Drosophila melanogaster: one gene and its partner. The protein of the gene in region 2 interacts with the protein of the main gene of each other region in a pairwise test. Each region holds a gene or a part of one and is shown on either strand. Other genes may lie near its edges.

Evidence for each region. The genes of interacting proteins can lie anywhere in the genome.
Region 1: the proteins of CG4730 (region 2) and CG10654 interact in a two-hybrid assay, tested with the Drosophila melanogaster proteins (2 studies listed by BioGRID).

Annotation. Positions count from the first base shown.
Region 1 is NT_037436.4:12,504,847-12,509,801, forward strand, and holds CG10654 (uncharacterized protein), read right to left. Parts: upstream 2,995-4,955; 5' UTR 2,865-2,994; coding exon 2,304-2,864; intron 1,642-2,303; coding exon 964-1,641; 3' UTR 528-963; downstream 1-527. Other genes in the region: vih (vihar), read left to right, coding at 1-302; sti (sticky), read right to left, coding at 3,511-4,955.
Region 2 is NT_033777.3:25,676,514-25,680,670, forward strand, and holds CG4730 (uncharacterized protein), read right to left. Parts: upstream 2,170-4,157; 5' UTR 2,083-2,169; exon of another isoform or gene 2,072-2,082; intron 2,035-2,071; exon of another isoform or gene 2,025-2,034; coding exon 1,015-2,024; intron 954-1,014; coding exon 785-953; 3' UTR 559-784; downstream 1-558. Other genes in the region: Lgr3 (Leucine-rich repeat-containing G protein-coupled receptor 3), read left to right, coding at 1-517; CG5039 (uncharacterized protein), read left to right, coding at 2,264-2,386, 2,460-2,645, 2,701-2,727; CG4743 (uncharacterized protein), read right to left, coding at 2,853-2,967, 3,080-3,495, 3,559-3,825, 3,878-3,973.

The DNA of each region.
Region 1 (4,955 bases), on a different chromosome or scaffold from region 2:
AAACGTATCGTTTGTCACTGGATTTTCCCAATTCCTATCCGTATGCAGCACCCGTGGTGAAGTTCCTGACGTCCTGCTTCCATCCCAATGTTGATCTGCAGGGCGCCATCTGTTTGGACATACTGAAGGACAAATGGTCGGCCCTGTACGATGTGCGCACCATTCTGCTGTCCATACAATCCCTGCTGGGCGAACCGAACAACGAGAGTCCACTGAATGCGCAGGCCGCGATGATGTGGAATGACCAAAAGGAGTACAAAAAATATCTAGACGCCTTCTACGAGAAGCACAAGGACACCTAGAGTTTGGCAATTCGTTGTCATATATCCTATGCTCATATTGCGGCGTATTTATTTACATATAGTGCAAGCAACTCCACTCATCCGAAGACCTACTGCCAACCAACAAACCAATCATCAATCACCACCGTAACACAGTACCATCAGTTAAGTGGATCACCAGATCAATTTCAACAACGTTCAATGCTGATAGTTCATTTGGCAAAAGACCCCGTGCGTTTCTTATGTAATTGTCGATCGATTGACGGATAATCTGGTTTTTATTCTCATTTCTTTCCTCCTCCCTACAAATTAATGATAAATGAATGTATTGGTAATGTAATTTTAAAACTGTCATCCGTTCTTTAAGCTTAAGGATAAATTTTAGTTAATTGTTTTATATACGCATGATTACTTTTTTGAGAACTACTGCGAGTGCGCGCCATCGCCATCGCCATTTTTTTGTACTGATGATTTTTAAGCGACTATGCTGCTGCGCCGGCCATTATGTGAATGTTAGCTAATTTTAGGGCAGCCTCATCGATTCGTCAACCATTCGCGTCGTCTTAGTATCTCCAATTATGCGGCATTCTCCCACAATACTGGCATAACAAAATTCCAAGTAATTCGAATCATTGTAACAGTTGTGTTAGCTTGATGTTATTGAAACCACAAATAAAACGAATTATTGAACTACATCCATCGCTTTGTGTTTCCTCCCGTGAGCGTTGAGCTCCACGCTGTTCTGGAAAATGCGTCCGCATTTTCTGCATCTGAGCAGCAGATTCTTATTGCCGTGCTTGCGCAGCAGATGATCCACCATGTTCTCCTTGGTGTAGAATCTGCGATCGCAGCATTCGCAGCAGTATCTCCGACCCTCAACGCTACCATGGACCATCTTGTGGCGCGTTAGATGTGCCTTTCGCGCAAAGCACTTGCCACACTCCTCACAAATGTGCCGCGCATCCGGGGACTCTGACTCGTGATACCTTTCGTGCGTCCTTCTCATGTGATATTTGAGACTTCGGTTCGCTGTGTACACCTTGTTGCAGCTCGGACAGGCATAGATGATCCGCGCAGCGTCGGCATTGTTATGCATCTGCCGCAGGTGCGACTCCAGCAGATTGGCCCGGGCATAGCTCTTGGCACAATGGACGCAGGTATACGGTCTCAGACCCTCATGCTGCTGCATATGGGCCTCCAGCAGCGACGGTTTGTAGAAGCCACGGTGGCAAATTCGGCACTCGAGGGTGTGTCGCACTCCTCGTCGTTTTCTGGCACCCAGCAACTTGCTAGAAATGGATAGCTTCTCCTGGCCCAGATCCTGTTTGGCTGACTCGTCCTCTATTACGTAGACTTCCTCCTGGAAAATTTAGGGTATTATATATTTAATTACCATAGCAAACTGAATGGTGGTGGTTTTTTTTTTTTTTTGTGGGAATTCTGTACATATCTATTATGAAGGAATTTTTTATGTAAAAAGGGTCTAAGCATATAAAAACAAACTGCTTTTGGTTGAGTTAAGTAATTTGTAGTAAGGGTAGGAATTACATTATGTTTACTCATTACTTTAAAGTGGAAATTTTTCCTTAATTTGCTATTAAGATTATCTTATCGCTCGACTTAGAAGATGATAAAATGAAAGTAATATTTTGTGAACCGAACTTTTGGCGGTCACTTATCTGTTTAGTTTAGTTTTTTAATGCTAAAAATATTAAAGGCGCTATAAATAATATCTAAAATGAGTGAAAGTTAGGGAACACATTTATCTATTCTAGATAAAACTGGCCTTTAAAATCGACTTTCTTATTTGGAGGAGCCATAAATCGAGGCGTGTTGCCATCTTCCCAATTTTATTAGTGGAAAATTTAAAAATACCCAATAGATTGGGACGTGCCTCCTTTTCGAGTGCTATCACCCACCAAACAAAAATAGTACAACACAAACAAACGCTGTCGAAATGTTTTTGTTTATGGCGGGGAATGGGGAGCAGTATTGTCTTTGCTTGGCTGCTAGGCAACACACCTCGAGCGAAGCACCCAATGTGATTCTAGATAAGATTACGGCCAGAGGCAGGCACACTTGTGGCCAGATAAAACTCACAATCTCCTGCGTCGCTGCGATGCAGGGTGCGTGCGACTGGGCTTCCGGATTAGTGGACTCGTTGCTCTCCGAGGGGGTGTCCAAGTCGTGCCAAGTGTGGTCCTCCAGTTTGTGGCATCCGATGTCGATGTCCTGCAGCAGCTTCTCAAAATTGCGCAAGGACTCTGCGCACATGCGTTGAAAGTCGTGGAACTTTTGCACCAACTGATAGCAGCACTCGCAGATGCTTTTCAGCACCAACTGGGGTGGCAAATCCCTAACGGCATCCTCTCCAGTACAGCCGTAGTACTTGCTGGCCAGATCCTGTTCGCTGTCCAGATTGTGACACGCATCCTGCGGACCCAGTAGCACAAGACAAGCGCGGCATATCATCGTCTTGGCACCATCGCATCCATCCATGCCGGAGGTAGTGGTGGTGGTGGAATCGGCGACAATGCGACCCGCGCACAAACTCAGCTGGGAATCAAACATCGTTGCTGGCATCGTCGGGAGATTCAACGGGCCACTCAAATGGCGTGGAGCCAATTGAAATCAATTAACACAATCTGCGACGGCGGCAGTGCAGCAGTCCGGCGTCCAGCGGCCAAGCCAACGATGGCAGTAATGCCAGCGGAGAGCACGATTCCATTTCCGGGGCTTTCGAATTGCGGGACATTGAAAGCTGCTGCCGAAAAGCTGCGTGGGATCAGCCCCAAAAGCTTGGCGTCGACTCCATGCCCCCAACTATTCTATTCGAAAAGCTATCCTGCATAGTAAAATTGATTTAAAATATTATGCGACTTCTTTAATTAATTAAAAAATATTTCCTTTAATATGCTTCGATATTTTAGTGATCAAAATAAATATATTAATTTAATATGAATTACCTTTTTTATCAAAATCTCAAGTTTTATTTGTGTATACAGCACAAAGTATTTAAAGAGTAAATTAAGTAATTTTTAAAAGATTCTGCCATGTGATTTTAGGCAATCGTTACACATGAAAAAGATTGTGAAAAAACATATGTTCTGACAAGTTAAAATAATAATAATCCAAATGTATAGCATATCCTAACCCTAGATATAACTACAACTACTCAGTTTGTAGTATTTTGCTTTGTCCATTCGTTTAGTTAATATATATCCTTCATCTATATGCTATTTCCGGTGACAGTCGAGCCCAAAGTCACAGAAGTGGCCACTGAAGACAGCGTTTCCATGGAGATATTGAACTTCTGCTTGAATGCCTGCATCGTGTCCAGATGGTAGATCTTCTGTGTTCCATTGCAGGGCCTCTGATCGATGGCCACGGCATAGAGATTGACATCTCCGCTGTTGGCCAGCAGCGTGGACATGTAGTGGGGCAAGTAGACGCGCTGCAGTTCCGGGGATTCCGAATTCTCCGATGCGTTATCCCCGCTGGCCATTTCCTTGCTGAACGACCGATGCAAACGGACTATCTGCACGCTTTGATAGTGCGATATGAATAGGAATGGATCGCGGTAAACAAATCCAGTGGGTGCATAGACCCAGTTCAAATCGTACGGCCTGGATCTGCAGCCAAACTCGTCCACAAAGACGCCATATTCGGCAAAGCAGAGCAGATACTCTTGTCGTGAGATGCGCACCGCAGTTAGGGGCTGGCACTTGGCAGTGCTCTCCATTGACTTATCGGACAGATCCACAAACTCCTCAGCCGCATAGTTGTCCAAATCGATCTCGTAGAACTTATCCGAGCTAACAATGGCCGAGTGACGCGTAAAGAATATGGATGTGACCGGCGTGGCCGTGTCCAAGGCTCGAACTGGCTTAAACATGTGCAGCTTAAGGTCGTACTTCAAGATGACAATCCTAGTGGACGTGGCCGCAATAGCCACCGAATCCAATGCGTTCTCCGCCTCATCGGAGATCAGCACTAGTTTCCATTTCTCCGATGGCGTGCGATTGGCAAATGGCAGCTCAATGGCCGACGTTTCCAGCACAGGCTTGTGACACGAACTGGAGCTCTGACAGCGTGACTCCAGCTGGCGGTAGTCACATTGATATAGCTTCTCGCCAACTGTGCCCACCATTATAGCCTTAGCCAGGCGCTTGCAAATGGACATGCAGCTCACCGATTCGAGACCAGAAATGTGCACCAATCGCTGCGAGTCCAAGTGATACGCATACAGTCCCGTGTTACAGCCCAATAGGAGTATTTGCTGCTCGGCCACTTCAAAGGCGCAGTTCACTTCGATCTCCTTCCGTGCCTGATCTTCTGCACCATCCGAACTGTAGACCAGCGATCCAATGTACTCGCCACCGCTGGTTGTACCACCCGCAACATCTACGCTATCCAAAGTCAAGCTGGAGACAGATTGAATACTGCTAAGATCATCGGCTGACGGTGCAGTCGGCTTGGTGGATCCGCAATGGCTCTGAACATTGGAGCGACACTTGCGATGCGTAACATCTTTGCACTCCTTGCATTTCCAGAACGGCGAACCGGCAACGACGGCCTTTTCGCAAACTACACAGTTGACGGCATCCACCTTGGACTCCTGCAGGGCCAGTTCGAAACGGTGATGAGCCTGGTTCTCAATGGTTACTTTAGTCG
Region 2 (4,157 bases):
GCACATCCACGAGGCCTTCCCGATGGGCTGGCTTTACTCGGCTTTCGTGTTCCTGGGCGTCAATCTGCTGCTGCTGGTGATGATTGCGATGCTCTACACGGCACTCCTTATTTCGATATGGCGAACGAGGAGCGCCACTCCGCTCACTCTGTTGGATTGCGAATTCGCTGTGCGATTCTTTTTCATCGTGCTGACCGACTTCCTGTGCTGGGTGCCCATCATCGTTATGAAGATCTGGGTTTTTTTCAACTACAATATCTCCGATGACATCTACGCCTGGTTGGTGGTCTTTGTGCTGCCACTTAACTCGGCGGTTAATCCTCTCTTGTACACCTTCACCACGCCCAAGTACCGAAATCAAATCTTCCTTCGCGGCTGGAAGAAGATAACTTCTAGAAAGCGAGCGGAGGCTGGCAATGGAAATGTGGCCACCACAACGACGGGCACGGCAACTGGATCCTCTCAGCATCCGGATGACTTCACGATCTTTGCCAAAGCCGCGATGAGATGCCATTAGGTCCTAACGCTGTCGAACTGAAGGATTCTTGTGGCGCAGATCGAACTTGTATACCACCAGATTTAGCAGCATTTATTTTGTCTATGATATCGAAAATCTATATATGTATGTGAATATCTATCCCTGTCCGTGTAAGATAACCAAATGAAAGTGTGAAATAAATTGAATGTGATATTTGTAAGGCAATTTTACGGAATTTAAAATGGGATGCGAGTTAGTGTAAGATTAAGCTATTATCTAAGTTTTGGTAATAGTTTTAAATACTTTTTATTTAGAAATAGCAGCGCTATCATTTTTGGCATGGTGTGATTCTTTCTGGTCCGAGTAAATCTTTGCCATTACCAACTTGGAGCGCACGATGTGAAACTTTCGCATTTCCTCCAGGTCCTCCATCTGCACCACCATGTTATGCTTACGCTCCAGGTGCATGCGTAGTCTAAAAAATTATTAAGGAGTGTTACTTTCAAATAATGTACACTTTAAACAAAATAACTAACTTGTTACGAGCTGGATAGCTCTGATGGCAGTGGGCGCACTCAAATGGCATGGCCGTATGCGTGCACTCGTGATTCCTGAGAGATGAAGATGAGGTAAAGGACTTCTGGCAGCCGGGAAACTCGCAAATGAAGCGAGATCCAGAGTGCTTAACCTGCTGGTGGACAGTCAAATGGGATCGCTGTGCGAAACGACGATCACAGAGATCACAGGAATAGGGAAAGTCTCTGTTATGATAGCGTTTATGAATCTCCAGGGCTTTGGCAATGGCAAAAACCTTGCCGCATGTGTCGCAGTGGACTCCAGACTGCCTGTGCTTCGAATCGACGTGAACTTTCAGCGCCTGCTTTGTGAGGTAAACCCGGTCGCACTGGCTGCAACGAAAGTTGGGACGATTGGCCAAATGAATCATCTGGTGCTTGGCCATGCGGGAATGGTTCCTGAACTCCTTGTGGCAGAACTTGCAGTTGGATTTTCCCGTATGCCGATTGCGTGGCACAATGTCCTCTAAGCTGTCGATAGGGGTTTCCTGCTTCTCCTCAATCTCTTCCATCAGGAACTCTTCATTCATATCCGCCTCATTCTCCTCATCCTCCACGTCGTCTTCCTGTTCCGTGTTGGCTTCGGTTGCCACAAATATCTCCCTCAACTGCTGATTGGCAATGGCCATTTTCTTGTGGAAGTCGTAGGCCCATTTCAGTTCCACCGCACAACGTTTGCACAAGGTTCGTGGCTCGTTTTTGGGATTTTGCCGCAGGTCTTCCTTGGTGCAGATCTCGTAGCAGTCGTAGTAACTCAGCGCCGCCTCCTGGTCATAGATGACGGTCATGTCCAGCATTTGGTTGGGATACGGCTCCTCCAAACACAAGCGGCAGCAATTGCTCAGCTCCAAAGAAGTAGTACTGTCTGAAAGTGAGACTTCATGGGATACAAGCTTCACGGGAGCTTCTGCAGTTCGCCTTGCTATTGTAAAATTAAGCGTTTGGCATACTTTTGATGTTTGGGGATCCATCTGTGCAAAGCTTATTTTGATCAAATTGAAAAGATTACTCAGATTACCTAATAAATACTTCTTTGTTTACAGTTGAAAATCCCCGCTCTTAGCCATAAATGTGAAGAAAAACTAAACATAGCTGTGCTAGGGTTGCCACCTATTTCACGAGAGGTCTGGCAGCACTTGGGAGCGCTGAAATTTTTGAGAACTTTTTGCTTCGTAGTTGTTGTGATTTCTTTGTACATCCCCTGAAAACGATGAAGTTACTTGAGCCTCAGACGACCATTAGTCCTGAACCGGACATACTGCATCCGGACGACGGTCAATACATATGGCTGCCAATTTCCGTGCTCGTTGGCATTTTCGTTCTGGCTGCACTGGTGCGTTATCGCCACAGTCTGTTTGTTTAAGTGGATGTACATTTGTTTAATTTATGCATTTGGGTGTACACAGGTCTACGCCATGTCACGTAGTCGCTGTCGGAATTCCTGGGATTGCCTAAAGAGCAGGAAGGCTCCGCGAAGTGGATACATCAATGTGGATGAGGAGGATTCCGATGTGCCCATGGACTGCGGAGATGAACTGGGAGATCAAAGGACTACTGCTACTCTCCTCACTGGTCGCCTCCACATTCAGGATGTCAGTGAGCTCGTGACAATGTCCCAATACAATCACAGCCCTTTTTCTTCCACAGGGAGCGAATAACGCCTCCAATGCCTAGTGAATCTCAAAAGTCTTCCATACACTTTATTGTCCACGTTGTCTTCAAACGGTGGTTGTCATCGGTTTAGTTACTACTGCAAACTACGTGCCTCTACTACAAGTACAACGAAAATAACCCTAATTTTAATGATCCGTACTGGTGGCGCCAAGGATTCGCGTCGTCAGGTCGTAGAAGCCAAAGAAGAATGCACCGCCCAGTGTGATCCACAGCACACGCGGCACAAAGCCAGCAAACAGACTGAAAAGTAACATCGAAGTACATTAATAAATGTAATAAATAGTTTTGTAAAGTTAATTTGTGTTTAAATATTAGGACCAGCTTGAGTTGCGTCTAATATGGAAATAATTACCCGCTGAAGCCTCGCTCCAGGTAAATGCCATGCAAAATTCTTCGGGCACTGCGACGTCGGTTGAGACTCTCCCTTTCAGCCAGCATAATTCGGGTTTTGACCACATCGAGCGGCGTAGTTAATCCCGCTGAAATGCCTCCAGCGACAGCTCCACAAAGAGCCACCGAAAAAGGAGTGGAATCGAAGCCGGTCAGGGGAGTCCATTGCAGCTTAAAGTACTCCCAGAGCGGAAACTGTATCAGACTAAATGGAATCTCCCGCATGATAGTGGAACCAAATCCCCTGTACAGACCACGTTTCAATCCCTCAGTGCGATAGGCACGCAGTAGAATTTGCAGGCCGGACTGTTTGTTGCCCTGCAATGTTTGGGAGCGTTGCTTGGCAATCTCCACGGGAACTCGGATCAAGCATGCCAACTATTGGATACAGAGATTCTTCAGATCTAAATACGAGGTGCTCAGTTTTATATGAAATCCTACCACTTCTGCTGCTGAAGCCGCTGCCATGTGAACATAGGGTGAATCTTTGGTTTGGGTGACCGAACTAAGGAACTGCTTTCCGCACTCGTAGGTGCAGAAAAACAGGGCCGCCGTGGGAGCACTTCCTGCAGCCGCAGGAGCGAGTCCTTTGTAGATGCCCCTGAATCCTCCTGCCCGCCAAAAGCCCAGCTCGCTTTGCAGTCGGGTCTTCACTGTATCTATGGGAAACAGCGCTATGTCCACTACCATTCCAGCCACTCCTCCTGCCTAAAACTAATTATTTAAGAACTAACTTTTCATTTAATTTTCATCTACTTACAACAAGTGCATGGAAAAATTTTAATTTATTGACCGGCTCTTGCATTTTGATTGCCACGGACCCCGCGGCCGATTCCAGACCCAATTCCGCTGCCATGTCCTAGAAATGATGTTGGGGCATCCACTTTAAGTCATCCCGTCGGAGTATTAACTAAAGTTGTTTTAGTAAACAAAAACATAAAATGTGGTTGTTAACGTAACAGTCAGCTGCTTTTTGCTGATCTGGCAGGTCTGCAGATAACAGCTGCTTGGTGTAGAGTTGCCAAGATGCTGAAACCATA